Caenorhabditis elegans: one gene and its partners. The protein of the gene in region 4 interacts with the protein of the main gene of each other region in a pairwise test. Each region holds a gene or a part of one and is shown on either strand. Other genes may lie near its edges. The genes, in order: C40A11.2, nhr-35, trak-1 and aldo-2.

Region 1 (4,245 bases), on a different chromosome or scaffold from region 4:
GTAATTTTTTTTAAAAAGTGCCATATGTTTTCTTAGAGATATAACAGTTTGCATAAATAAAACTACTGTTTTCAACTGAAAAACGCAAAGTTTACTTCAATTTTTAGAAATTCACAGTGACAACCGTAATTTTTATTTTTGATTTTAATATAGAAAATGACACAATTGACTTATTTTTTAAAATTTTATAAAAATTAGATTAAAAAATTTTTGGAAAAAAATTGACCTAAAAATGTTTTTTCATCGCAATTTGTTGAAACATGTCTGATTAATTTATTTAGCGTATTTGTAACAAATTACTTAAAATTATTTTGCAGAACCAATGGATAATCGAGAACCTCTGCCAAAAGATTTAAGGAGACATCGCGGAATGAAATATTACCCTGAACCAGTTTGGAGTTATCGCATCTACAACAGTACGCATTCAGGTTGCGTTGATTTAACAGCTATGGATGATCTACAGAAGAAAATCGATAGTATTTTGAACGGAGAATGAATACCCACATATTATTTAATATTTCAAATGCATTTATCAAATTTTTTACATTTGTTTTATAATGAAAATTCTCGAAAACTTCTCAAAAAGGTACGGCGGCGTCTAGAAGTGATCAACATTTTATTCATAAATTCCCGATTTTCACAGCCTCCCATTAATATATTTCTCCAATTTATCAAAATTTGTAAATGTTTTAAATCCTTTAATCGGAGAGTACAGCCGATAAATCCATGATTGGTGACCTTTATTGACTCCATCTTCACGCCGAGATTTATCAGATTCATCTTCGCATTCACATTGTTCTGAAAATCACTTGTAAATTATTCGACCAATCAGCGCCCGGCCACGCCCACTTTTCGACCAATCAGGTCAAAAACTCACTGAAATAGACATCCAACTTTGGATTTTCGAGAACATATTGAAAATTGAAGGATTCTGGAGAGTTCCAGAGGTGATCATTGTGAACTGTATAGCTGATCACAAGAATTGCTGTCTGAAAAAAAAAATATTTCGAAAATTTGAATGAAGCGCCAAAATTTTCGGCTATGATCATTTTGTGGGAGGAGCTTATCAAGCCCTGCCCCTTTCTTGGTCAAAAATTTTGTTGGGAATCAAAACTGCGAACAAATTTTGACGTTATCTTATAACCCCCGCCCACTCAGTGGGCGGAGCTCACCCCGCCCGCCCATTTAGTGGGCGGAGCCAATCCCGTCCCGCCTCTTTAGTGGGCGGAGCTTGTTAAACCACGCCTCTTATGTGCTCCAAAATATTTCAAGGAACTTGATTTTTGAATTTCGTGCTAAACATTTTAAAGTCTAGAAGAGAACAATTGGGTGTGGCTTATTAAGCTCCGCCCACAAATGGGCGTGCCTAAAAATAATTTTAAAAAATTTTTTAAAGAAAATTCTATAATAAGTTATGAACATTCAGAAAGTTTCAGAAAGTGCCAGAACATTTCATAAAAATTACAAAATCAGCTGAAAACTGTCAGAAAGTTTCAATGAGCCCCAGAACATTTCTGAAATTTTTTCTGAAAATTCTATAAAATTTTTTAAACATTTAGAAAGTTCCGGAAAGTTCTAGAAAGTTCTAGACCATTTTAGAAAAATTTATAAAAGTTATTGAAATTGCTGAAAAATTTCAGAAAATTACAAAAAAATTTTCCAAAGTTAATTTCGTCACATGAACTACGGAGGCCCAGCTTACAAAAGGGGCGTGGCCTCTAAAGCCCTGCCCACTCAATGACGTCATCTATACCTTTTTGCAGTTTGCAATAATATGAAGAAGCTCCTCCGAAGTTTCATATGACCGAATTTTAAGAAAAGAATCACATAGGTCGACTAGACCGTCTAAAAGGTAAAATTCGGCTTCTCTTCTCACTTCTTGCAGTTCTCGTTCAAACTTTGGAAGTTCCACGTCATCACCTTCTTTCAGATATTTTAGAATCAGGCTGAAATTTTTCGGGGACCGATCCACAAAAATGCACCCGGATTCGTCGATTGAGACCTAGAATGGAACATCTCTGAAGTTGCAGGAAGTTCTAGAAAATTCCAGAAGCTTTGAGAAAGATTTCGAAAGTTGTAGAAACTTACAAAACGTTCCAGAATGTTTCAGAACATTCTAGAAAGTTCCAGAAAGTTCCAGAAAGTTCCAGAATCTCTCAGAAAAATTAGGAAAATTTTAAAAGTTGGAAAATTAAATAAAAAATAAAATTGAAAGTTACCGGAATATCACTTGTGAGCATAGTTTTGAAGAAACCATCAAATTTAGTGAGCTTCAGTTTACACGTCTCGAATACCGTACCACCGATATCTAGTTTAATGGGCTCAACTATGGAATCCATTTTGGAAATCGCTGAAAATGAGCGAAATTTGAGGAAAATTGCAGAAAATTGTAGGAAGCTGTAGAAAGTTGCAGAAAATCTGAGAAAGTTGGGAAAGTTCCAGAAAAAAAAAAAATTTTTCAGACAGTTTCAGAACATTTCGAAAAAAAACTCAGAAGACTTCAAACATTTTTTTTCGAAAGTCTAGCAATTTTCTGGGAATTTTATAAATTTGCAGAAATTAAAAAAAAAATCAAAACTTTTCGGAAAACTTCTGAAAGATTCAAAAAACTCTAGAAGTTTTCTGAAAAATTTTAGACATTTCTTAGAGAATTTAGAATGTTTCAACAAAGTTAAGAATGTTCTAAAAGATTTGAGACATTTCAAAAAAAAAATCAGGGAGTTTCAGATAATTTTGTAACATTTTTAAAAAGCTTAGAAACCTTCAGAAAGTTCCATTCCGGTCAACGTTTTGGAATATTGCCAAAATTTTGAAAAATATGAGCTGTTGAGGAAATTTAAAGAAATGTCGCATTTTTCGACCCCTACAATGTTTTGATACAAATAATTTAAACAAAATTAAAACATAAAAAATGTAGAAAAAAATTGTTTTTTTGGTGGATTTCCAAAATTATGAGTGGCAAAAACCGAGTAATTGCCACTTTTTGGCAGTAAATAAAAAATTTTCAAAAATTTTTTGAAACGTTTTCTTATGATATTTGGCCATTTTGGAACCAAAGGGACTTAAGTAGCAATCACAAATTATCTAGTTCAGAAACTGCCAAAATTTTCAAAAAAAAAAACAGATAATTTTAAAAAATTCCAGAAAATTTGGGATAATTTTTTAGAAAATTACAGGAAAACTTATTATGTCATAGGAAAATGGAGAGAGTTCAGGTAAATTAGAGAACATTTTCACCAATACCAGATTAGCCAAACGTTGCTCTCCCGCCGTACTTACTGTGAGCAGATGGTCAGGAAAAATCGATGAGCTCAGAGGGGGTCTCTTACACACTAACGGTCAGATGAACCCAAACCCGGACCATTTTCTTCCATTGAGACGCAGACAGGTTAAGACATCCATCAGACAAATGAGTACGTTAAACTTTTATTGAAGTAAAGAAAATAACAATTTCCAAATTAAGGATCAATTTTCCATTTCATTATTCGCTGTCAAAAAATTCATTGAATCTCCAGAATGCTTCAAAATGTGGCTTGTAATTCAAAAATGTAAAGATTACGGTGCTTGTGCAAATACCAATCGTGGTGGGAGCCCTGGGGTCAGCCTCCCCGTGGTGCTGAGAGCAATGGGTTAGCAGATGGCCACAAAATCGATGTAAAGCGAGACCACTCGACTCATTTGTTCATCAATTTATTCTCTGTGAATACACGTTACTCAATATGTGCTTTTCTGAAACAATTGTCAAGTTGAATGTCGGCGGATCTGTATTCGAGACGTGGAAATCGACACTGACCAAGCAGGATGGATTCTTCAAAACATTAATTGAGACTAATGTTCCGGTTAGTTTAAATTTTTTTTAAATCAACGACAACGAAACAAGACGAAAATCAGGGATACAGTAGAAAAACCTGTAAAACAGAAAATAACAGGACAGGATCGAACGTGAGCATTTGTGATCGTTCCCAATACATTTGCGTTTAATTTTTCAAATTCAGGTTAAAAAGGACACTTCCGATTGTTATTTCATTGATCGCTCTCCAAAGTACTTTGAAACTGTGCTAAACTACATGAGATCCGGTGTTACAGTACTTCCAGACTCTGAAAAAGAACTACAAGAACTGAAAAAAGAAGCCGAATTCTACTTGTTGGAGCATTTGGTAGACTTGTGTGAACCTATAAAAAACAAAATCAGAACTTATGGCTCGTCTCATGAATTGCTGCAAATCATCGCCAGCACCAATAAGG
Region 2 (7,349 bases), on a different chromosome or scaffold from region 4:
AAAAAAGTAGTAGTCCACATATTCATGTGTCACGTCCGGAACATTTTCCATCAAAGTCCAATTGTAATAGCAATACCCTGACGTGGTTCTCATTAATATGGTGCACATGACTGGCTAAGAGATGAACTGATTTTTGTTCTCCGGATGGTAATTTTTACAGACTAGGGAGAGGATTGGCAAAATTTCGATCGAATGGCTCAGTGAATAATATATTTTCGAACAACTTGTAAATTCTCAAACTTTGTTTCAACTCCATTTAGAAAGCATCTGCGAATTTTTTCAAAGAACCCACGCACCTGGCTGCAGTGTGCATCAAAATGGACCTCAATTTTCAGCATGACTTCACTGAAACATCACTTCCCTCTTGCCATCTCCGTCCATTTTTAGGGGTGCACTGCCAAATGCCAAACAAAATGTAATAACGCGCTTCACGCCCTCGAACAAGACGAGCACCGAGAAGAGGGGATGTCGTAAATTAAAATCCTGTTTGGATTTTGGGGTGTGTGGAACGATGAAAAACTATTCAGATTTCAGATTCAAAGATTTTATGAAAAGATTGTGTTTTATAACAGATCATTGAAAACTGTGAGAAAATTATAAAAATTATATTTATTAGGGGGTGGGAAACAAAATATATTCTTAACAAATGAGTTTGCTCTAACCCGTCAAATTGTGTTTCAATGGCATTTTCTGGGAGTTCAAATAACTTTTTTCTGGTGAATTTTCGGGCATTGTCAAATATCACAGTTTGAGAACATGAAACGGATAGATAGAATAGACACTTGGATTAAAAAGTTTTTTTTGAGAATCGACTACTATGAGTAAGTGTTTGGATATTGGTTGTAGCTAGAAGTGAACGGAGCATACGGCAGGTTTAGGTGAGAGGAGTCGGCAAATTGTGGTGTGTGAGGTCTGAAATGTAACATTTTTAGAATTAAAACTTATAATAAAAACTTCTTACTGTGGAGTTGTGTATTGTGTTCCGATTCCTGACATCATAGCATCGTCTGTTTTGAGCAAGAGGCCGGCAGTGAGAGATCTGCAAAAAAAGTGACAATTGAATTTGAAACTGCAAAATTTTCTTCACATTAATGTTCGATCGTTCTGCTAGTTTGATTTAGTGGTGGTCTTGAAAATATTCACCGCCAACTCACGGGGTTTTGCAAATCCCGGAAGACGTGGAAAAAGTGGAATAAATTTTTCAAGTGCCTTCACCACGGTGGCATTATTAACCGCAAGGGATCACAAAAAAGTTAATATTCAAGTGTGTTGAATTTATGGTTTTGCAAGAAAAGGGAACGCGTGAGATATCCCAATAGGGTAATTAAAAGGAAATGCTATGTGATTCTTGAAATTTCGGAGCTTTCATAATTTGCAAAACACAGAAAGAGGGAACATTGAAAATTGGGAACAGCTTTGCGAAAATGAGCTTAATTGTTTGATTTTGAATTAATCAATAAAACCGGTGGCTTTTTACTAAACAGTTAAACCCTGGGTTTATGTTTGCCCTTATTTCCTCTATCAGTATTGCAACACATTGTTCAACTTTGGCAGCTCATATTTCAGTTGTCGTTATCGTTATATAACTTGTTATTTAACTAGTTATCCACAAAATGCACCGAGGTTTAGCATTTCAAAGTGTAGTAATTTTTTTCATGACTACGCAAGTTCTATGGGCAGCCACAGAATGTGCATCACTTTAAAAAATAACAGGAACATTTACATTGTGTGTTTTATTCTAATGTGTTCAAGGTTTTGTGCGTATTGTTTGACTACAATTTATATGAGCTGAAAAATGCATATGCTCCGTAGCTCAAGCTGCTTCTTGAGTAACAAAATGTAAATTGTCAGACGGTTTTCAAGTTAAACTTGATGTTTTTTCCAGCAAAATTCGTGAACAATAAAACAAATGTGTTGTTTACTGAGTCAATTTCATACTGTACCTCTCTACATACTGAAGTCATAAACTCAATGGTCAACACTATGCTGGACTTGCGCGCACATCTTCTCGGAGCAAATTTTGATAATGTTGATAATTTGAAGTCTACAGTTGAATGTCACCTTTTAACTAGGACATTTCGATGCTCACATCTTGTGTGATCAAGCCAACACAAATAGAGATAAATCAATGACTCATTCTTAAAATTTGGCCGTTAAAGATTAGATTTGACATTATGTACCTAGTTCATCGCTTTACGTCTGGCGATATCCAAGTCTACGTCAATAAGTTGCAAAATGAACGTCAATGGACTGAGGGCAGGATCACACAGTTCACACCTTTGGTGTTTGCTCATTAAAACTCGTACGCCCTAGACTCTGTTGAAACAACTCCGCGAAGGAGGAATTTCCGCAAATAAAGATGGAATAAATGCTGGACTTGATCATTTGAAACGATCTTTGATAGAGGAAAACAAATGACTCACGAGTTTGTGGGAGAGTTGCTTGAAGTGGAGGTTCGCAGAAGATCCTCCGGGCACGGTGAACACATATCTTGGCTTCCCGACGGTGTGTCGTTCATAATTGAGCATGGAGTTTGATCTTGAAAATATTATTTTAGGAATAAATTTTATTAACTAATTACATACCTTGTCTATCTTCCCCGTAATCAGTTTCAGCCAATATCAGTTCTTCCATCAAAACATCAATTCTCGCAACACCGCTGACTTTTGTGAACATGATATCTTCCGAAATTGATTTTGAAAGAACCTGATGTATTCAAAATCGTACGAATAGATGCTAAAGAAAAGCTTTACCGAAAGCGGTGTGAGAATGAAAAATGTCAAATCTCCGACTCGTGTGGTTTCCAGCGGTTTGTTCACTCTTACATATTTTTCGAATGCGGCGAAAATTTTCCTTCTTGCGTTAAGGACCAAATTAACAGCATGGTTGGATAGACCCGGTGCCACTGAAATTAATATATTAGTGTTTTGAAAGCTATTCTAATATGAGCTTAAGATAATAGCTGACATGCATTAGAACAACTAAAGGTAGACTACTGCCAATGGAAAAATGATTTTGATCGTGATAAATTTTTTCGAAAAATTTATGGATTTGTTTCTAATCAAAAAGTGGTGAAAGCCAAATTTTTGGGAAACTAAAGCATTGTCACATGTTCGAGCCCCGACAATGTTGAAATATGAACTATTTAAACATAATCAGAACAACATTTTTAAAGAATTTTATTATGATGTTTGGTTCCTTTAGCACCATTTGAACCGTATTGAAATCCCCACCTGCCCGTACTCCATTTTTTTGTATTTTTTTAAGAAAATAAATTGTTTTTCCTAATAATTTTGCAATGTATATTATCATTTAATATTTTTAAGCTAATTTTGTTTTAAAAAGCCTCAATATTTCCCTCACAAAATATTTACCGGGATTGAAAAGAACGCAAGCTTTGAGAGCCACAAATTCCTTGTTGTCGAGCTTCAAAAATCGCATTGGTTCCACCAACTGGTCCATCACTTTTTCACAGTCACGTAAATAGAATCCATCCACACTAAAAAGCAACATTAAAAACATTGTATATTCTAGCATCCTCTTACTATTCTTTCAGATGTGGTGTGGTTTTTGAAGCCCTTGGAATGTAGAGATCGTTGAGAAGTTTCAAAGCGTCATTTGCACCAACAGAGCGATAAGCCACACAAAGAGTCACGTGCTGACCAGCAAAGTTTTTGAGAAGAACGGCCTGAAAGCTTGGGAAGTTTTTTTTTTCATTTTCTTTAGCGGTTTGTTAAAACTGATTAGCACACAATTGTACAGTTGTGCTTGCTTTGTAATCAACAAAAAAAGGACGAAAGAACTCCGTTATCAATTTACATCTTATTGGAATTCCTCTAACCGACCAGTTTTGTTCAATGGCTCTTACCTGATCAGCACCGGAAAGTTGTTTAAATTCCGGCAGTGTTTTCGCCCATTCTATGACCAGCAAAAGTTGACTGTGCATGGATTTAAGGACGTCGTTCAAAGTTGCTGTTCGGTCTGTGTGGGACAATCTCTGAAATTTGAAACCTCCAGAAGAACAGCTTTTTGGTCTAAAACAAACATTCTTAGATTTGGTGGTGTATTCCACATTTCCGGTCTGCGTGATCACTGTATCACGAAGACTTTGAATCGTCATCTCCGACTTCAAGAGGCTTTCCAATAGTTGATCGTACTCATCTTCCACTGGGGACATTGTTAGTTCGGGTGAGGTTCTCGGAGTCGGGTCTTGACAATAGGTTTTCATGTTGTCTTTTTTTTCTCTGCAAAATTTCCATGATTGATCAATGGTTTTAAAAAATCCTGTAGTGCAAAAATGTTTAATTTTTCAAATTTACAGTCAAAAAGTGGTAAAAACTGAAATCATAACTTTGGATGTTGACCAAAAAAGGTTTTTTCTACGAATATTATTTTTAACTGCTTTTCCAATGTTTATGTTCAACAATTCTTGGTCTCAAATCTACAGCAACGACTAAAATTTGTTTAAAAACTAATTTTGAGTATGACATTTAGTCATGGTTGATTACCATGACGTATTTAGTCTAAATCTTCACTAATAATACTTTTCCATCATTAAGAACAAAAGATCATAACGTGATAATTTTAGCTTCATCGTTTCGCTTGACTTGAAAATATCTGAGTTTCCCCTGAATAAGTATTCGAAAAGTTTTGGTCATTAGTTAGTTCTAATAATCATCGTTTCTACGCTTCAATAGTGTTACACGGGTGAAAAGATATTTTGAAAATGTAAGATCAACCATCAAAAAGTTACTATTCTATTTATGTCTCATATACGAATTTTTAAAAGTTTTAAATTTTCAACTTTGTATACTCACCTTTTACCAATTACATCCCTTTCACTTTGAACTTGATCGTCGCGCATTCCGGATGAAATACATTTCATAAAGCGACAGTAACGACACACTGCGCGGTTATCTGGAATAAAAAAATTAGACTAATTTGGATAAATAAAGGGTACGTACGCTTGTCAATTTCACACTTCGACTCAAATCTACAATGATATTCATAGTTCCGTCGAACGGTTCGTCTGAAAAATCCCTTGCATCCGTTACAAGCAATTGCTCCGTAGTGTCTTCCAGTCGCCACATCACTGCAGATATGACAAATGGAGTTGTCTTTTCCTGAATAATAGAAAATGTAAACTATCATCACAGATAGTGGAAAAATTACCATCCGTTTCTGCTTTGCTGTCACCGTTGTATGTTCCCAACATTTGACCTCTGTAATAATGAGAAATCAATAAAGTAGGTTCAATGGCGGGGTGGCGGCCGTGAGGTGGTGTGGAGCGAAATGAGAATAGGACAAGAAGGCAAACAAAACAATCGAGAGAGCGGGCGTGGGATGGGGTGAAGGTAAAACCAGCGTGTATTTTGTTTCCCATTCTCTCAATCTATTGATCCAAATGGTCGAAGAGAGATAGTTGATCAATTGATGCCAAATGCAAAAAAAGGACGGTATTTGAAACAACTCTGTTCAAAGCTAGTTAGAAGTGCAAAATTTTTATAATGTAGGACAGAAATGCGGACAGACACACGATGCATCCCAATCGGACGCTTATCAAAAAGTGGGAAGCGTGCTTTCCATCGAATCAATAGCCGAATGTGGCGTGATTGTCAGCATTACTGTAATTTTTAGACAACTGATTAGCTTTGCCGATTGCCTCCCGAAACCATCTGAAAAACAATTACCACCAGTGGAGGACAATTGTAAGTTCAGGCGTGGGAAACGAGAGGAATAAGATGAAGAAACGACATGTGATAGGGGGATGGCAACAGCGTGTGTATCTGTGTGTGTGAGTGTGTGTCGGGATGTGTGACAGGAATAAAAGAGACAAGAGACACATGTCATGTTGAGAAGAAGACAAGGTTGCAGAGAGAACGCTCAGCCACACAGTCTATGATTGTTCGAAGAGTGCTCAGGTGTTGTGGACTACAATGTAGGGGCAGTAATAGATTCAGGTGTGGACCATTGCGCGATTTGCTCTACCGAATCGTAGATTTTTGGAGTATTATTTACTGAATTTCTTAGGAATTTTAGGATATAGGGCATGACTGATTATGTTTTTTCCCTTTTTCCAAATACGAAATTAATGCTCTTCAGTAAAACCAAGAAAGTAACCTATTGGGAAACCTAGATCTTAAAGGCTTATTATCATTATTGAAAAACCGTATAAATCAATACGGACAAATTTTTACAGTTTAAAAGTAAACATTAATTAGTTTTGTCTTTCATAATTTTAGAAGTCAATCAAAAACATGTTTTCTTTAAAATTTACAAGTTTTACTTAAGTTTCAAATATTTGTATTTGAACAATTAGAACGATGAGGTCTGAGGCATATAGAATTTTTTTTCTTAATTTCTCAACAAAACCAAATATTTGCAAAATTTGGCAATTTACCACAACGTTTTTTGTATCTGAACATTGCAGGTGTTTCAATATGAAAAATTTGCTCTAAATTTCTCAACAAAAAACTAAACTTTTCATAAATGTGGCACTCTGCCAAAAATTTGACAGAAAATTTTGAAAAATCTGAAAATTGGTGCAGACTTTTTTTTTGATATTTGGATTTGTCGGACCATAATCACTATATTTTTACAAAATTTCATTGACGCTACTTGACGATTTTCATTAAGAATCTCCAATAAATGTAGTGCTCAAAAAAATAAATTACAATTCTTGTGAAAGAATCTATCTCTATTAGAGGCAAGTCAACAAATTCCAAAATAAAACCTGAAATTAAGCTACATGGCAGTCATTCTGGTTTACAAGTGAGAATTGAAGAACATAAGTGAAAATTATATTTCAACGGTTCGATGAGACTTATCGAGAGACATAGTTTTTGCTACCATTTCCAAAATCATATTTGAAAACTGTTTGTCCAGCTGCTAATGCTTTAAAATATATGCATTGAATATGTACTTCAACATTCATTTTCACGCTTTATATACATGACTGAAATATGTTTCCATTATGAAACAAGACTTTCATTTCGTTAATGACACAACTTGGATTAAGGTAACTTGGTGACATAATAAAGATTGACGGGTGTTTCTAGTTTGATTTTGGGTCTATGTAGTTCCGTGCGAGAAATTTTGTTTTTAACACTAAGCAAAACTTTCTCACAATTTTCTCATGTGTTTCTGATTTAAAACGAAAAAAATCGCGAAAAAACGCAGTTATCAGGAAAATAATTTGTGACCTTAAAGAAATGAACACATTAAAACGTTTTCGTCAAGATAAAAATCACTTTCTGTCCGGTAGTTGAAAAAAATATTCAAGATAACAAGAATGCCAACCACGAGGTTAGAAAAAAGAGAGCAAAACCTCTCATATTTCATCGAAGTTC
Region 3 (6,224 bases), on a different chromosome or scaffold from region 4:
AGACATCAATTGGGATTAGGTTACTAATGGAATAAATGACACATACAATGGCTTTATGCCGAAAAAATTAGGAAAAAGTATGTTTACCACAACAAAAAAAACATTAAGTTCAAACTTGGGCGTTGTACCTGAAAAAGGAAGTTACATATATCTTTTATATATATTCCTGAAGTCAAGCCTCAAAAATGTCAGTGAAAGCTGGTGAATATATTTTTTCATATGGGCAGACTGTATATCTTCAAATTTTATTCAACTGCGCTCCAGCGGTTGCCAAAATGTTTTGGTTTGGCAAGGTTTGGTTTTAATTGTTAATACCGCATGCAAATAGTCTGGGATTTGAAAATATCTCATAATGTATGAAAAAAGTGACAGATGTTTCCTGAAAAACTATCCAAAATTTGATAACTTTGGCGTTTTCGAAAAATTCCAGCAATTTTGATGGTTCACAATGTTTTTTTGACAAACGTCGCGTTTGCTGATTTTAAGAAATTATAGCGTTTTTTTTTCTTATTCTCCTTCTTAAACTGATTACCACCTTTCGCCATTTTTCATTGAGAAATTCGAAATTTATTAACGATACATAATTTCAATACAATTTAAATTCCAAAAAAGTCAAACATTTGGCTTAAAAGCAAAAACCGGTTTACACACATTTCAAGACACTAAATTTCTAGCTGTTTAAAACAAATAAAAACAAAAAAAATCAAGTTAAAAGCTCTAATTTCTTAAGTATTTTTCAAATAAGTATTAGTGAAATTTCAATTCAAAAATTAGGTGGAGTGGGGGTAGAACAAATCGAATCATTTTAAAAAATGTACATGTATTCAGAAATTGAGAGGAAACATTTGTTAAAGTAAAAGCCATTTTCCTTTATCTTCTTGATAAAACACCGTGGATTGCACCAATTTTCGTGAGACCACCGTCAGATGTTCCAGGTGATAATGAGAGTGATAAACTTCGATGTTGAGGTGATGTTGATGGAGACGTGAGAAGCTGGAATTTACAATTGTTTAAAAAATGTTACTAAGAGGGGCGGGCAAGTATTTTGGTTGGATAGAAAGAACATAATTCTAGAGGTCAAAAATATAGTCCAAAATAAACCTAGTAAAGAAATATTTCCAATTTTAAATGAATGTCTGTAATAGAGATGTGCGGCTTTTGGAAAATTCGACTAATACCAAGTGCCAAACAATTGGCAAAATGTCAGTGTTAGTTAATTTCTAACTGTCAATTAAACTAGTGATTCCGTTCCTTTGGTTTGTCTATAGTATTCCTTTTTATGCATGAATTAATCAAAAGTTTTCTTTACTAATTGTAAGTAATAAATGCCAAATTTTTAAACTTAATTCATATCTTACCTCTGCTCTCGTCAACACTCCTTGTCTGAGACCCAATGCTAATGACTGTTCGGCATGTCTTGGTTTCAGACTCTGAATCATTCTGACTCCGTATGCAGCACTGAAATCCATCCATGATGTTTCATTTGATTGACGACGGTCCTGTAATGAGAGAGTTTGGTTAGATAAGCACTTCAATCAATATTTTAATAAAAACTGTTAACATGACAGGGCAGCTACCGAAAAGTTAATGTACTTGAGGGGAGGTTTGGACTTCCAATAATCAAAACTTTGTTTCAAACCTCCCTCATTTGATAATTGATAGAAAAGGAAAGAAGTAGACTACCTGAGAACCGAAAAACTGTTGCTGATCGATACCTTTCCGCTGACAAAACGCCGCAAACTCTTTTTGCACCTGAAACTAACATATCCGATTAGAGTTAGTATAAAGCTCGGTTAAAGTGCAAATCACCTCTTCCCTAGCCTTGATTACTTTCAAGGAGATATCCAGATCACGAGTTCCAGGCATTCCCGGTTGTCCTAGTTTTGACTCTGCGTAAGACGATGCGTCATAAATAGTTGTAGATGGAACATCGAAACTTTGAGCATGTGGACGATTACCTGAAAATAGACATGACTAATGTCAATCGACGCAAAATAAGAAAATTTACTCACCTATATGCAACCGTTGTAACTTGCTCAAATTGCTCTTACTCGGGCTGCTACACGGGATATACTTTCGTGCCACAATCGGTGTGGACACGGCTTCTTCGCTGGGGAAGCTAAGTTGGTTGGTCTAAAAAAAAATTTTTTGAAAATTTTTTTTGCCTAATAAGTTTTACCTCAGCATAATGTGCGTTAATGCCAGAGACCGAAGGAGTTGTGACATCGTCGTCCTGTATCGTTGGAGTAGAATCACGATAGATATCTGTGCATGAAGTGCTCGCATCACAGAGAGCCGCCAGTTTTGATGAGGTAGCAAAGATAGGCTCTGCGATCGAGGGAATTTGATACTGGAAGAATATATTATTATTCGAGTTGTGTAAGTCGAAATTGTACCTTTTCTGAGTGTTCAATCTCAGCTGCCAAGCTCATTGGACCACCTGCATCAATTCCACTATCATTTGCATAGCTATCTCTCCCCGTAAGAACTGTCAATTGTGTTGTGCGACCCGCTGGTGAAAACTCGGAGTTTTCCATTTCAGACGCAAGGGAGTCATAGAGAGAGTCATAAGACACTGAAAAATTTGAAGAATTCAGTCAAGTTGATGTTGTATAAATCTTACTTCTTAAGTTCCCGGTACTTCTGAGCTTATTCAACTCGGATTCAGTTTCCGCAAAATTAGCCATGAGCTCCGCGTATTGATCCTGCATCTCTTTGTGCTCAGCTTGCATTGTGTCATGTCTTTGGATCATCTCAATGAGTATCGCACCCATTTCTTCTTTTTCCATTGAGATCTGCAATAAAAAATCGTTTCTTGCAGCTCGCAAAGCATCTAAGAACCTACCATTCTTTCTTTCTTATCCTTATCCGCCAGTTCATTCATCAGCTTTCCAGTGTTCTCATATTGTTGATTGAGTTCTGTTGTTTTTTGTTCAATCAACTTTTGCAAGCTGATCACTTTGTCATTTGTGTAATCCAACTGTTTTTCTAGCAGGTATGAACTATTCTTCTGAGCAGTGACTATAGCGGATTCTTGCCGGAGAAGATCACATTCTTGGCGAAGTCTTAAATTGTGAATATGTGAAATTTTGGTCAGAGCACGTTCCTAGCATATGGATGTGCTTCAGAACATAAGTGAGCCTGCAAGCGGCAAGAGCGTGAAGTGAGAGTGTGAAAAAAAAAAGAACATAGGATTTTCAGTTGAGCAATCACCAAAAACCCAAAGTTATTCGTGGCAACGGAGCTTGAGAGGCTCTGAGAGCAATAATGATGGCATTATCAGGATCTTTGTTTTTTAGACTATCAATCGTTCCCCTTATCCAAAAACTGCACAATTTTGAACTCGATCGCCCACCCACTATCAATTACGCTGGCTTATTTGATTATTTGACAAACCTCTCGTTTTCCGATTTTGTGGATTTAAGCCGTTCTCGGAGTGCCTCGTCGCTGTTTGACCTGCAATTGAGTTTTTTTAACTTTGAAAAACGAAGAAGCAAGAGAACAAGATTTTGATCTCCACGCCACGCTTGATATAAATTTAGTAAGTTGTTTATTCCACAACGAATATTAACACAATGACCAACTGTGATTCGGCTCTTTCTTGTCGAAAAGTTTTAAACAAAAATCTTACCTTGGTAAACCATCATCATCTAAATGTGAGTAGACCCTGAGTAGCTCAATTCGTTGATTAAGCTCATGTTTCAGTTGAACAATTGTGTCCAGGTTCTTGTTGACACTCTCCTCGAGGAACTCATTTCTGAAAACATTGATTTTTAGAGCTTATTTTTAGAACAAGGAAATAGTCCCTATTTTCTAGAACTTTTATTCGCATACTAATCCTATCTTCCCTCCACTCGTCATTAAAACAAGTGTAATTGATACTTGAACTCGGTGGGCTTAATTAGAAAACACTCACTTTGTCTGAAGATCTTTGTTCTGCTCCAACAACGATTGGCCAATCTTAGCCGCAAGCTCAAGATCGTGATTTTTCTGAAAAAAACATGTTTTAATAGTTGAAGATCATGAATTCAATACTAAAAAATAAAATCGAAAACATTTTATATTTCTTTGTTTCACAATGTTTACTCTACAATTTTTACCATTCGATTTTTTCGATTACTAAAATAAGTTTGAAATAAGAACAAGTTAAGGCATACCTTTTCTAAAATAACCATGAGACCATTGCAGTCGAGCTCGTTGAGAGCACACGACGGATCAAGTGGAGAGGAGTTTCGAGTTGGAGTTGGGCTCATTCGGCTGACAGCCCAAACATTCGAAAATCTGGAAAATAAAAACTATTAGACTGAAAGGATTCAAGATAAAATGGTTATCAAATTTGATCTATGGAAAACGAAAAATCAAGGGGGAGAACCTCAAGAAAAAACGATAAAAGCGGACGGGCGGCACTAGTGAAAGAGAATTAGAGAAAAAATGGGAGGAAAGGAAAGGTATACTCATTGTTTCTTTTTCAAACTGTTTGACTGTGAGAGAAAGAATGTATGTTTGTACTTTTAGTACCGTTAAGTGAAAAGGTATCGAGGAAAAGAGAGAGGAAACGAACATGTGTTTGATTATAATTTTAATAGTCGTTTGGAAGAAAAACAACGGTATATAAAGAAGACTTTCATGCGTTTAATTCTATTCATTCCCAGAGCCAGGCCTGTGCGGCTTTTCGCAATTTTCGACATATGCCAAATATCGCACAGAGTGTTTCCAACCCACCGAGAATATCCGAGAAAATAGAGAACTTTGCCACTATCATAAAATGAGAAGATTGCATTTTCAAATTAATACCGTATTTATCTTGGCTCATTTTGTGTAGATCAAAAATAATTAACTACAACCCTATATATGGTACAACGGTTTTTTTCTAATTTTCAGGTAAAATTTTTTGATATAACAAAACATGTTCACTGCCAAAGTGGTGCAACTTACTTTGTCGAAAATTCAGGGTTTTTCATATTTTTGTATTTTCACGATAAAAAATACAACAAAAATGAAAAAAGAAGAAAACACCTCGTCAGCATAGCTTTCTTTACTAATCCTTATAAATCCGAATAGCTTTTGAATGAAAATGGGAAGATGAGACAGACATTGTGACTAAGAAGCAGGAGTGGGTGAATGATGCGGAAACGTTCTGTTCGGGCTACGGGAATTTCTGGTTATCGTTTCAGATAAATTCTTTGATTTGATGCTCGAAACTTAGAAATTTAGCGGCTTTCCTATACATATTCCTAAGCACACAAACAAACGCACACGAATATATTATATTCAAATCAAAAGAGGGGGATAGGTGTCGGTTTGTCGTGGTTGAGGAAGGGAGGTGCTCAAGTTTAGCTAAACAAATCCTCAAGCCATATGACAGCTTGCGAAAAGGAGCATGAGAAGGTCAGGTGCGAAAATCGTAATGTTAAAGGTTGTCCTTCTAGCCTCACCCTCTGTCAAAGGATGGATGTGGCCGCCTGGTGACGTCACTCTTCTTCCTGGGAGTCAACCATGATGGGACACGCTCCAAAATCGTAATAAACTACAACAACTTCTCACCATGAAACGGTAAGACGTGCGAATGGTTAAACAATGTGTAGCGACAGGAAATTGGAAGACATGGGGGTAGTATGGGTAAACATGTATTGTTGGTAGTCACTTATTTGCGGTATCTTTTATGTATTTTAGGGTTTTCAAAAAGGCGGGCTTTGAAAAACGGAACACATGGGTGTGAAAACTAATGCTCAAGGTTAACAAAAAACTACACGTAACATTTCGTTTTTCGGTTTTGCAACAAATGGATGTAGGTTTATCCACAAGACTTCAAAGTAAGATGGTCATATTTGGAATCGTATTTTTAGAGTGGATTATCAGAGAAATTTAAACGACAAAATACCTATCCCTTAAATTTTTAATTGAACTTTACTTATTTTAATCACCACAGAATTACCCCGACAATGGATTTTTGCAGACTCTTCATAACTGAAATGTTGCTCAGAGAAGTGCAAAATTTTTGAAATCTTTTTTGAATAAAACTGATAGAACATTTTTCACACAACACAGTCCAAACAATTCTGATTTTTTTTCCGAGAAAATATCAATTCCCAAAAAGTGTTATAAAAAACATTTCTGGCTCCTAAAAACAACATTCACTGAAAAATTTTGAGATTAAAAATTCTGGAGGTAGGTGTTGGGTTTCGCAGTTTCCTGTGATAACCTACATAAACTAAAAAAGAGTT
Region 4 (3,909 bases):
GATGCACTTATTGATGATGCTCCAGATACCGAAGATCTAGAGGTTTCCACAGAAACATTTTTCTGAAAAATCTAGAATTTTTTAATTTCAGACAGCCGGGATACTTCTCAGCGAGAATGGTCGCGTTCTTCACGATTTGAATTCATATCTCGTCGAACGAATCATTGTAAAATTGCGTCATAAACTTATCAGTGAAGATCCAATTGTCACTAAACATGTCCGTCAAATATTCATTCATGTGAGGAAGATCAGAGAATGATCAATTGATTATTTGATTTTAGGTGTATGATCTTTGGGCATTTGGATGGAGTGAGCTGAATATTCCTGAATGTCTTCTCACTTTGAGTGCAGAAGGGAAGCTATCGATTGTTGATCAGACACCACTTCGGAAGAATGATATCAGCAAGCAAGAGTTCGGAAGCAAAGAGAGCATTGTTTGAATATATTGAAGTAGATCCTTAATATTCCCACTTTTGGTGATTTTTAGTTTTCGGGTTTCATAAAATATAAAATTTCGGTGAAATAAAACTTCATTTCGGGGTCAGTGAAATTATACAATCTTGGGGACGAGGTTGCGAAAAATCTATTCACAGGAAGTTATGCGTCATCGCTTAATAGGAATGCTTGGCAACGAAGAGAGACTCGGCGGCGGCTCCAGCTGCGTCTTCTCCGGCGTACTTTCCGAGAGATGCATCTCCATTGGCCTTGGAACGGTGAAGGAGTGTCTTCTGAGCGGCAGCGATGTTCTCGTCTTTTCCGCCCCATGCCTTGAGCACAGAAGCTTGAAGAGCACGTCCATAAGAGAAGGTGAGCTTCCATGGCTTTCCGAGTTGAACCTGTAAATAGAAATGAGTGATATAAGGTTATTCCATTTCGTTTAAATTTACCGAGTTAATAGCATTGAGGTTAGCAGTGGCATCAAGTTCGGATTGCCCTCCAGACAGGAAAGTGATTCCTGGAACTGCAGCTGGAACTCCGCGTCTCAAGGCGGTTACGGTAGCCAATCCAATTGCCTCGTGTGAAGCTTTCGACGCGCTCGATTGTCCTGGAGTAACCATGTTTGGCTTGAGAAGAGTTCCTTCGAGATACACGTGATGATCAGCAAGAGCCTTGTACACAAAGGCAAGAACTTGCTCAGTAACCTTCTGGGCACGAGCCAAATCATGTTCTCCGTCGCAGAGAACCTCTGGCTCGACAATTGGAACAAGTCCGTTGGCCTGGCAGATAGAAGCGTATCTGGCTAGCACATTGGCGTTCTCGAGCATTCCGAGGTGAGATGGGGTGTGAGTTCCGATGTTGAGAACACAACGCCATTTGGCGAATCCACATCCTCCCTTCTTGAAAGCAGCGGCACGTTCGGCAAGCTTGTCGAGCCCCTGGGTGGTTCCCTCTCCAATGGTTCCAGCCAATGGGACAACTCCGAGATCGAGCTTGATTCCTGGGACGATTCCTTGCTTGATGAGAAGATCGGTGAACTTCTCTCCCTTATCGGTGCTTTGATGGAATGTCTCCTCGTAGAGAATCACTCCGGAGATGTGCTGGTTGAGATTTGGAGTAGTGAACAGGAGTTGACGATACTTCTGACGATTTGTCTCGTTGTTTTCGAGGTTGATGGCATCAAGACGCTTTCCGATTGTGCCTGCAAATTGATCGGGTCACGATGTGCTGCATTATAAAAAAGAAGAAATCGGTCTTCCCCAATATCATTTCTACATGTTATCTTTCTTTCTATCTACAATTTTATCTATCACTCGCACTATCAATGCATCAACATCTCCAATTTCAACAACATAAACATCGAAAATTGGAGGCGATAGAGGGCACAGAATATGATCGCTAGACCGTGAAAATTTATTTTTTGAACTTCTGAACATAAGTCGCTAATTCTTATTGAATAGAAAAATTGTCAAAAGATGATTGTGAGAAGATAAGAATCTCGATTTTCTAGTTCTAGAAGAATTTTTCCAATAGCTCACCAGTGGATTCATCGGCGGCGAGGATTCCCTTTCCATCTTGAACAATTTTGAGAGCGATTTGGTGAAGCTCGTCTTTTTGAGCCTAGAAATACAACAATTAAACTAAGAAGGGCATTACAAAATGATGAATGATCAACAAACCTGGGTAAGAGAGTCCTTGAAAGCGCCTCCGACAGTTGCCATCGTGAAAAATAGAAGTGATGCGAAATGAAATGGACGGTCGAGAAAATGGGGAGGCGGAGAGTGTAGAGAATCAGTACAGTCGCCGAGAGTGTGCGCAAAAACGGGAGACGGCGAACGGGCGGCGCCAAATATTGTTGGCGCGCAGAGAACTGAAACGTGATATTCTTGTACTACTTTAGGATGATCGAAAAATTCCGAGATAGAAAGTTTTGAGGCCTATTTTTAAAGAGTATGTCAATTCGGCAAATTAATCTATAGATAAAGTAGATAAATCCCTTAAAAAAACTACACAAAAATTTTTTTTTAATTAATAAAATTGTGCACAATTTTTTAAAAACAATTTTTCACAATTGTGCAGGAATTATTTTCTTAAGTTTTCGGCTGTTTTCTTATAGAAAAAACCGAAAAATTTGGAAATGAAAAAATGAATCCTAAAATTGAATTTAAATGTGCGGTATTGTCGTTGTTAGTCGTTGGCTTGCGCTGCGAGACCCATTTGCGAAAGTACGCCTCTCTTTAAAAGTATAATTAATTCTGATGTTTTTTCTTTAGAATTTCAGTCTTAAAACTGAAGAGTTGAAGTGATAAGAATTAAAAACACCTCACTCAGAGTATTCGTTGTACAGATCAATGATAACTTTTATTATCGTGGCGTGAGAAATGGGCAGACAGAGACTGTTCTCGAAAGCATCCGAAATTCACCAAAAACTTTCATCTTTCGGGGAACCCGGAGAACGAATCAAATGAGAAGGATAGTCACGTGGATTTGAATCATACGAATAATTCAATCTTATGAATCTCCTTTTAAAACGATTCACAACACAATAAATAATATTTTGAAGAAGGAAACCCGTGAGAATACAAAAACAAAATATTGGAATTGCAAAATGCAAGGGAAGACATGATGACGTGAATCTTGATAAGAGATGGTGTTCGATGGAAATAGAAGAGTTGTGAAGAAGACGATAACGGTATGCAACTCCTGGATGCATATGCCATTCAGACCAGTTGGCTGGAAATTATTCTCATTAATTTTTTATCATGTTGTTAACTAACACAAAAATTTAGACAGTAAAGTGGACATTGTACTTTGAAACTTTCAAATTTAGTCTTCAAGTTATGGTTCTTCGAAATTTTTTAACTAAAATTAATACCATGCTTCATTGAGTCTTGAGTCTCCTTCCGTATTCCCACTTCAGTATTCGCCACGTTTGATGACGAACACCAGGCTGAAAACCGTACTTGCTCAATTCCTGAAATTAAATCATTACAAATTTGTTGATATATTTCAGCGTAATGAGACCCATACCATAATTCACCCAATCTGTCCATTCGGACCATTTTTTACTAATTGGACACTCATCTGGGCGGCAATCTTCGTAATCCTTGTCACATCCCTCGCAGGAATTACCTTTGCAGTGCCGAGTTCTGAAACTTGGGTTACTGTACATTTCCCAATTGTTTGAACCTACCGTATCCTCAGGCTACGATCACAATCGCATCGAGACCATGGATTCCAGGATGTCCAGGATCCAAAAAGATACTCCGGTACATTTGAAGAAATTGCACAAGATTGCTTCTCAACTTTCTGGCCAGAACAAGTGGTACCAATTGGTAAAGGATTATTACACGTTCGTCTTCTTTTTCGGATACCTTCTCTACATTTCGACCATTTTGACCACGTTGACCAACCTCCTGGACGGATGCAATTCCAAATCTGCATCAAAATTTTATTGAATTGGTTTTTATC

What was found.
Region 1: the proteins of aldo-2 (region 4) and C40A11.2 interact in a two-hybrid assay, tested with the Caenorhabditis elegans proteins (one large-scale study listed by BioGRID).
Region 2: the proteins of aldo-2 (region 4) and nhr-35 interact in a two-hybrid assay, tested with the Caenorhabditis elegans proteins (one large-scale study listed by BioGRID).
Region 3: the proteins of aldo-2 (region 4) and trak-1 interact in a two-hybrid assay, tested with the Caenorhabditis elegans proteins (one large-scale study listed by BioGRID).

What each region holds. Positions count from the first base shown.
Region 1 is NC_003280.10:2,145,057-2,149,301, reverse strand, and holds C40A11.2 (BTB domain-containing protein), read right to left. Parts: upstream 2,353-4,245; 5' UTR 2,340-2,352; coding exon 2,220-2,339; intron 2,003-2,219; coding exon 1,754-2,002; intron 990-1,753; coding exon 878-989; intron 799-877; coding exon 638-798; 3' UTR 510-637; downstream 1-509. Other genes in the region: C40A11.7 (BTB domain-containing protein), read left to right, coding at 318-496; C40A11.6 (BTB domain-containing protein), read left to right, coding at 3,720-3,839, 3,996-4,244.
Region 2 is NC_003284.9:4,530,725-4,538,073, reverse strand, and holds nhr-35 (Nuclear hormone receptor family member nhr-35), read right to left. Parts: upstream 5,384-7,349; coding exon 5,173-5,383; intron 5,124-5,172; coding exon 4,965-5,123; intron 4,918-4,964; coding exon 4,818-4,917; intron 4,245-4,817; coding exon 4,046-4,244; intron 3,998-4,045; coding exon 3,869-3,997; intron 3,689-3,868; coding exon 3,546-3,688; intron 3,500-3,545; coding exon 3,375-3,499; intron 2,906-3,374; coding exon 2,754-2,905; intron 2,707-2,753; coding exon 2,586-2,706; intron 2,539-2,585; coding exon 2,424-2,538; intron 1,040-2,423; coding exon 962-1,039; intron 913-961; coding exon 816-912; 3' UTR 528-815; downstream 1-527. UniProt on the Caenorhabditis elegans protein: Orphan nuclear receptor.
Region 3 is NC_003279.8:6,121,179-6,127,402, reverse strand, and holds trak-1 (HAP1 N-terminal domain-containing protein), read right to left. Parts: upstream 4,282-6,224; 5' UTR 4,254-4,281; coding exon 4,158-4,253; intron 3,991-4,157; coding exon 3,917-3,990; intron 3,758-3,916; coding exon 3,632-3,757; intron 3,457-3,631; coding exon 3,397-3,456; intron 3,066-3,396; coding exon 2,846-3,065; intron 2,796-2,845; coding exon 2,624-2,795; intron 2,576-2,623; coding exon 2,397-2,575; intron 2,351-2,396; coding exon 2,180-2,350; intron 2,134-2,179; coding exon 2,013-2,133; intron 1,959-2,012; coding exon 1,810-1,958; intron 1,759-1,809; coding exon 1,684-1,758; intron 1,500-1,683; coding exon 1,359-1,499; intron 994-1,358; coding exon 871-993; 3' UTR 544-870; downstream 1-543.
Region 4 is NC_003281.10:5,874,163-5,878,071, forward strand, and holds aldo-2 (Fructose-bisphosphate aldolase 2), read right to left. Parts: upstream 2,309-3,909; 5' UTR 2,160-2,308; coding exon 2,118-2,159; intron 2,059-2,117; coding exon 1,977-2,058; intron 1,640-1,976; coding exon 888-1,639; intron 837-887; coding exon 612-836; 3' UTR 516-611; downstream 1-515. Other genes in the region: F01F1.3 (MIF4G domain-containing protein), read left to right, coding at 1-42, 92-238, 282-440; mig-21 (Abnormal cell migration protein 21), read right to left, coding at 2,858-3,171, 3,314-3,412, 3,469-3,587, 3,632-3,876.